Tribolium castaneum: one gene and its partner. The protein of the gene in region 2 purifies or fractionates together with the protein of the main gene of each other region. This does not show direct contact. Links are inferred from orthologs where the notes say so. Each region holds a gene or a part of one and is shown on either strand. Other genes may lie near its edges. The genes, in order: nuclear RNA export factor 1 and E3 SUMO-protein ligase RanBP2.

What was found.
Region 1: the proteins of E3 SUMO-protein ligase RanBP2 (region 2) and nuclear RNA export factor 1 purify together in Drosophila melanogaster (affinity purification with western blotting; 3 studies listed by BioGRID, with this or other methods). This does not show direct contact. The link is inferred for Tribolium castaneum from reciprocal best matches to the Drosophila melanogaster genes Nup358 and sbr.

What each region holds. Positions count from the first base shown.
Region 1 is NC_087399.1:3,671,045-3,674,968, reverse strand, and holds the start of nuclear RNA export factor 1, read right to left. Parts: upstream 2,777-3,924; 5' UTR 2,640-2,776; coding exon 2,585-2,639; intron 2,532-2,584; coding exon 2,269-2,531; intron 2,219-2,268; coding exon 2,132-2,218; intron 2,084-2,131; coding exon 1,649-2,083; intron 1,601-1,648; coding exon 1,491-1,600; intron 1-1,490. Other genes in the region: Rint1 (RAD50-interacting protein 1), read right to left, coding at 2,983-3,196, 3,245-3,771, 3,864-3,924. UniProt on the Drosophila melanogaster protein: Mediates the export of the majority of mRNAs from the nucleus to the cytoplasm. In ovarian follicle cells, plays a role in transposable element silencing regulation by enabling the nuclear export of flamenco (flam) transcripts and subsequent piRNA biogenesis.
Region 2 is NC_087394.1:28,918,201-28,922,024, reverse strand, and holds part of E3 SUMO-protein ligase RanBP2, read right to left. Parts: coding exon 2,170-3,824; intron 2,122-2,169; coding exon 1,892-2,121; intron 795-1,891; coding exon 1-794. UniProt on the Drosophila melanogaster protein: E3 SUMO-protein ligase. Component of the nuclear pore complex (NPC), a complex required for trafficking across the nuclear envelope.

The DNA of each region.
Region 1 (3,924 bases), on a different chromosome or scaffold from region 2:
TACTTTATCTAAGAAATAAATTTTGAAAAATACATTGTTATAACAATTGTAACCATAGTAATTATACTAGAAATAAATTATCTGGGGTTTATCTGACGATTATAAAATCCACCCTTGATGAAACGTTGAAACTCATTCAAGTATTTAAGCAAAAATAATTTATTATGTAAATATGTTGTAAATATTTTATTATGTAAATAAAAAAAGAAGAAATACTGCTTTATTTTGAATTTTTTTCTAGGAACGGAATTATAACTATGTTACAATTGTGAATTAGTGGGATAAACTCATTCAAGAAGTATTTGGGCGAAAAAAAAATTATTATGTAAATGAAAAAGAATAAATACAGCTTTATGCTGATTTTTTTTCTAGGAACGGAAATTGATTTAGTCACAAATTCTGAGTTAGTGATTTTTGTACCGTATTTTCAGCCACTTCTCATTTCCTAACACATTATTTATTTGAAAAAAAATAGGATACAATAGCTCCAGTATTTTGTGCCCTCTTCAGTTTAATTCAAAAACTTACGAAAATCTAATTTTGTACAAAGTGTTAAACAATCAAAATTTATTGAAGTTTGTTATTTTGGGAATTAAACCTCCGAGGAATTTTGCAACCGATCAGACAGTTGTTACACAATTTCAAAGTAAGACAAGCTTCGTAAATTTAAAACTAAAACAGCATTACACGATCAACAATTTATATTACTCCTGCATTAAACAACAAAACTAATAAATTTAGAATAAATCGCCACTGAAGAGCATATAATTTTTCAATTTTTTAACGGTATTATTTAGTATTTCTTTTCATTATTATGTCTTGTATCAATTCCATAAGATTACTACATAAAACAAAAAAATATAATAATTATTGTACTATGAGGAGTCATTGATTGTTTAAGGTGCAGAAAAACAAGACAATCTGCTTGATTTACAAGCATTTTTGCCAAATTACATACACATTTAAGTGTTCTGGTCCACTCCTTGTAGTTCTTCTGTCTTCTTAAACTAACTGCATTGTTTATGGACAGCAAAATCTTGCAATGCTTGTCCAGCTATCGCTTTACGAAGCTTCGTAACTGCTGTAAGGACGCACCTTTGAGAAACCTCCTCTCACTTTGATAATACAAAACAAAAATTATGTAATCCCATGGAAATGTTTGTATGTGATTTTTTTTTATTTTTATACACTTCAGTGACTTAATTATAGTCAAACAATAATATTAAAAGGTTGCCAAATGCAGAATTCAGCCACAATGCAACGAAGCCACATGTAATGCTACTTAAGTTTTAAACAAATTATCGCGAAAATTTGGGACTTTGAAATTTGCGTAACAACAAATTTCGTTAATAATTTTCAAGTACTTTTATTCCATTGTTGGCAGAAAACCTCTTTTTTATTCAAGTGACAATCTCCGATAACCAGTCACCCTCATATGCATTCACGTTCATAACATGATGACTACAAAAAATAAATTAGTTCAACATTACCCAATGTACGCCTCTTGGTCCTTGTATTTGTTGCATAATGGATTTCCATTTAAAACAATATCGACGATAGGTAGTCCAATAAAAGGGTCCAACATTGACAGATCCTTAAACTGAATCCCCAAATTTACAAAATCCCCGATTTTGGGCAACAACATTACCTTATTATTTCCTAGATGCAAAATTTTTAAATGGGGCAGTTTCTCATTGGTCTTCTTTAAATACGACAAGTTTGCTATTTTGTTATCGAATAAATTAATCGCTTCAATTTCTGGGATATTCTCCGCGATTATTTCCAAAACTGTTAGAAAAATGATCGGTTTGAACAGTACACAGAAATTGTCTTGTAGGTCAGGGTCGGCGTGGAATTTCGTTAAATCGAGCGCTTTATTAGCGGCATTGTACCGCTTAGCCATCGTTAATTTAATTTTCTCCTTCATCTCACTATTAACGTCAACATTTGGCATCCCATGACTGACCTTAATCAGCAATTTAAACCCGTCGGGCATTTGAATCTGGCGATCTAAATCGTACAGCTTTTCCGCGGCTTTAAACTCATCCATGTAAAAAGTGGCAGTTGTGCCGTTTACACTCCACTGGAGACAAAAAATCAGTCAAAAACCCTCACACAAACAAACCATTACCGTAATTGGCCACAAGGGCAAAGGTTGGATCCGCTCGAGCAGCGTCTTCAAGACGAACGCCTTCTCGTATTTATTCCCAAACGGCAACTAGCAAAACACGTGTAAAACCCCCAAAAAGCCTCACTTAATACACTTACTGTCACGCGGTACCAACCGAAGGGGCTCTCCAAAAGCCGCCGTTTCTTGTGATTGGGCACGGGCGAGTCCCCGCGACCGCCCCGTCTGCCTTTAAACTGCTTCCGGTTGAAGTTTCGCCCGCCCCCGGACGAGGCCCCCATGTCAATGTCTTCATCTTCCAGGTACGCCCTACTCGCCGCTGCCCAGTTTCTATTGTCCTTTTTATACTTGTTTGACTTGAAACTCACTTTGCGGGTCTCGCCACCGCCGCGAAAATCATGCTCTGGCAATTTACTGCGTTTTAAACGAATCGCGTGGAGTGTGCTGGGGACTTACCACTGTATTGGCTTCTCCACGACGGTTTGTTGTATTTTCCGCCCTTTGAGGCCATAGTAGCGTCTCAATTACTTACTAGCACTTAACTATAACTATTATTGTTTTTTTAATAATTTTTTTGAGCCTGATTTAACACCACTTCACTTTCGACAAGTAAACGCCATTGATACGCGCTGCCAACAAGGCGAGGCCAAATTCCCTGAGAAAATCACCGACTTTTGAATAGTAGAGTACAGGAAATTTGTAAGGTTCTGACTTGTTTTTTAAGACGCCAAATATTCTGGCCCAGAAGTAACATTTTATACTCTACTCTAGATTCACTTACAGGGTGATTCAATGAAATGCAATGGTGGGGAAAACATTTATTATAAAATTTCTCAACAAAACGTATAAATGCTTCAATCAACGTCCATCCTATTAACAGTAATGTCGGTGCGCTGGTTTAGAATCTTAACGGCCATTTTTGGGGTGAAGCTGACCACCCCAACCTCCTTGAGGGCTCTCCCGCGGGAGTCCTCAATACCTGTGGCCCCCTCAAGAGCCAAGAGAGTCTCTCGTAGTAGCAAAGCGGACCCTTTAGTTATATTTAAAAGATTGCAAGCTTCAATCAGTCTGCAACAGTTCTTATTTTCCACTTTACCGACTGAGTAAATAACTTACTGGACGAAATACGTTTCGGGCCTTTCGGTATATTGCGAAAATAACGGCAGTAAATTCCTTGTTACGTCATACTTTAACTGCAAAGCGCCTCCAGTGTTAAATCTATTATCAAGGACAAGATCCTCAAAGAGGTAATTATCTAATTGTTGCGCAACCGAGCGCCAAACTATCGTAAAAAGTTTCGAAGCTAGAGTTTTTTGCAGTTGGTGTAGTCGTTTAGCCACGATTTCGAAAATAGGGCAGGCTGTGGGTGTTAAAGACAGGCCTTTGATGTCTTTACCGACATTCATAGAGGACCACCTTTCCCTCCTGTAGGCTTTACCTTGTGACCTGACTTCCAACATGACATAATCTGATAAATTAAATAACAAGTCGCGTCTCATGTGCCTATAGAGTGATAAAGTTTCGGCAAAAACAGTTTCACCCTCAATATCCGTGGGGTCAAAGTCGTCCGAATCACTTGACGGGCTTGTGGGTGCTTTGTAGTCATTCAACTGGCTTTTGTAGTAGTATAAATTCAAATAGTGCTGAAACACTTGCATAAGTATAGATAGTGCCATTTGATTGGCTGAAAGTCTGCGTTCAGCCAATCAAATCGCACGGTTCGAGCCAGCCGTACCAACATTGCCCCCCAATCAACTAAAACATTCTCGATGTAATAGATCGTGTTAGCAATCGTG
Region 2 (3,824 bases):
GCTCGTAGTGGTTGCACCCCCAAAAATTCCACTAGACTGAGCTGTGGTCGTTGGGGTCGTAGCAGCGAAAATTCCCGGTCCCGAACCGAAAACTGGGGTCGATTTCGAGCCGAAAATGCTTCCGCCACCGCTTCCGAACACACTACCGGACCCGAAAATACTTCCGGTTGATTTCGCAGCTGTTGTTGGCGGCGCGAAAATGCTGGAAGAGGTAGTGTCGGGTGTTTTAGCCCCGAATGTGAACGATTCGTTCTTGGTTTCACTGGCCGTTTGAAAAATCGAGGGCGATTTTGAGCCGAATAAATTGCTTGAGGTGGCAGGAGAAGAGAAGATATTCGATGAATTGTTGGCAGAACTGAATATTCCACTGGAAGTTGTTACAGGAGTGACCAGAAGTGACGGTTTGCTTAGAAGACTTTTAAGAGTGAGCGAGCTATCGGCAGGCGATGATACTGTCTCAGTAGCTGCTTTAAAACTGAACACTTCTTCTTTCGGTGTCGTGAAAATCGAACTTGTGCTAGAAGACGTACTGATAGATGGCGTATTCGAATTTTTGAAAATTTGACTGATTGGAGGGGTTGCGGTAGACTTTTGGTCGCTCGTTTTGAAGAGATCTTTCAAATATTCGTCGTCTTTTTTGCACTGCGCGCATTGACAGTCGGGTAATTGACGATAAGACATAAACTTTGGAGGCAACATTAATCTGAGAGCTTCTTTTTCTTCTTCTGGTGTTACTTTTGTCTCGGAAATGAATTCCACGTCTTCCCCTTCGGATGTTTCATCAATTTTCTTGCCTACAAAATTTTACATAAATGAAGATTTATAACATTTACGACTACTTTTACCTATGATTAGTAGTAATTAGTGCTGTGTTAGGTGATTATTGGGATTATTTGGTGAAATAAAAATCCAATTGTTATGCACGAATTTTATTTATTCCTTTATAAATGTACCAAATAAAACCAACAATACCACGGGTAACAAAAACTAAAAAAAGTAAAGTGTTTTGACGATGATATAATAAAAATTTAACGTCCTCACACTTTACCAATTTTTTAGCGAGTTGTATCACATTGTTAAGACATTATTAAGCTACGACAGTTTTGTTAATGGTTATTGAATCACTGTTAGGAACATACTGTGCCGGTACTGGTATAAAAAATAAAAGCCTGATTAGAAAAAAAGCTCAAGAAGCATGCACATACGTCTGATATGAAAATTACTTTTTATTAAACTTTTGTTTATTTGAAAAAAAAAATTACTGCAGTTTCTTTTAACATGTTACGAAATTATTATTGCACACAACTGATAAAATAAGACAAATTGAAATTTAAAAATATTTGCTTAAAATGTTTTAAAGCTGAAAATAAATATCTTTATAAAAAATCTTGAGGAACAAGTAAAAAGTAAATAGAAGTGATAAATCTAAAAAATGATTAAAAATTACATGTGGTCAAAACTTTTAGTATTCCTTCAAACCACTGATTAAGTCAGTAATAATGTTTAAACATAATGTTATAAATAATTTATAAAAAAATATCAAAAGCTGTAAATATTATTCAAGAATACACACATGTGCACAATTATTTAATTAAAAAAATTCAACTCTAATCTTTATTACCTAATTATTCATTTCAATCCGATAATTCTGATTCATTTAATAGATTTACCACCATAGTTACAAAAACATCACATTAATAAGTTTAAATATCACAAAACCCAGATCTAGAATGAAATAAATAAAAATGAGCAAATTCTTCACAGCTCAGATCGTAAATTATTCAACTTGACCGTCTACTGTACAAATAATACGACGCCATAAGAAAAATCGTGACAGTAGCGACAGAAATAACTAAATTACAATTTCCATCGCAAAACTTTGGCATCTTACCTGTATCACAGGACGCTCCACTCAAAGCATCGTTCACAGCCTTCATAAATTCCTGAGCAATTTCAGCGTTCTTAAACCTAAGACAAAATTGTTCTTCGGTTATTTCGCCTTCGGAATAATCCGACGCATGGAACAGCCATGTCTTATCATCCTTGGGCAAATACTTAATGTCAGTAGTGAGAATATGGTTCAAACAAATCTTAAACACTTGCTCCCGCCGCATCAAAACCCTGCAATTTTACTAATTAAAAAAATACGTTTTTTACCACAAAACTCACCTTAATTTGCCGGTATCTTTCCGCCTCAAAATCTTCAAATCACCGATTCCTCTCTCCTTCCATTCCTTATCCACGAAACGGTAAAGCTTCGCTCGATGACAATACAAGACGTCCTCTTCCTCCTCACCCGTCTTCACTTCAACCTTATCCGGGAGCGGAATCACCGGTTTGAAGTAAATATTATCAGCCTCTTCCTCCACGTAACTGGCATCAGACTCCTCGTCTTTACCGCCGCTGCTGATACGTCTGGGTGACCGCGGAGTGAATTCAAAATCGTGCTTTTGTGGCGAGCCAAACACGAATTTTTCAGTCGCTGAAGTGTCTTTTTTCTCCACACTGACATTGGGTTTGAAAACGAACGGTTTCTCGGTTGATATGCTACTCTGGCCAAAAGTAAACGTGGCTTTAGCTCCGGCTTGAGTCGAAGGAATCCCGAAAGTGTATTTCTGACCCGGAGTGTCCAAATTGACACCTTTCGGACCTTCCTTTTTCGGAACTGTATCATCTTTCGGACTCTCACATGCCACACAATAAACGACATCGGAATTGTTCTGGATTAGACAATTCTTACACTCCCAAGACCCTTCCTTGGGCTTGAATAAATCGCCCCAGCCGGTGGTTGGCTTGTCGGCAGTTTTCGGAACCCCGAACGTGAATTTCAAACCACCAGTGTCCAAATTCACCCCCTTTTCGGGCTCTTTTTTCGGAATTGTGTCGTCTTTGGGCGATTCACACGACATACAGTGTGTCTTATCGGCGTCATTTCTGATGTAGCAAGTCTTGCACTCCCATGAACCTTCCTTAGGCTTGAAGGCGTTGCCCCAGGAGTTGGACACGCCAACTCCGAAAGAAAACGCAGCTCCAGAAGCGTCACTCTCGCTTTTTTTCGGAACTGTGTCGTTTTTAGGTGTCTCGCAAGCCACACAGTAGTTGGCTTTGCCGTCGTTCACAACGAAGCAATTTTTACACTCCCAACTTCCCTTCGCCGGTTTGAACTTATCGCCGAAACCGGTCGGTTTAACCGGAGATTCGATTTTCGGGGTTTTACCCGACACGCAGTTATTTTCATCGAGTGACTCTTGAGCGGTTTGGATGGCTTTCAAGAACGAATTAGCCAGCTCTTCTGTTTTGAATCTTATAGCCAGCGTTTCCGGTTTAAGGACGCCTTCAGAGAAGTCTTTCGCGCACCAAGTCAGTGCTTTGGGATTATTTGTCATGAATTTAAATTCCATGTTTTTGAGTAGTTGGTGGTTACAACACACTTTCAAGACTTGGTCTCGCCTCATGACTAGTCTGATGGTTGTTGCGTCCTTAAGCAGTTTGAAAACACCAACTCCTTTCTCCTTCCATACTTTCGTTTCTTCACTCGTGTCAAAACGGAGGATTTTCGCTCGGCTCTCAAACAAGACTTCGCAATTTTCTTCGCCAGTTTTGACTTCGACTAATTCGGGCAAAGGCACGACTGGTTTGAACTCAGCCGTTGGAACAAACTCTTCAGTCTCATCATCGACCGGTTCCTTAGCTTTGCCACCTGGGCTTTCACTTTGTTTCTGAACTGGTGAAAAGTTAGTTTGGAACGTGGGAAAACTCGTGTTTTTCGTAGAACCGAACACAAAGTTCGAGAAAGGACTAGCTTTAACCGGCTCCTCTTTCAT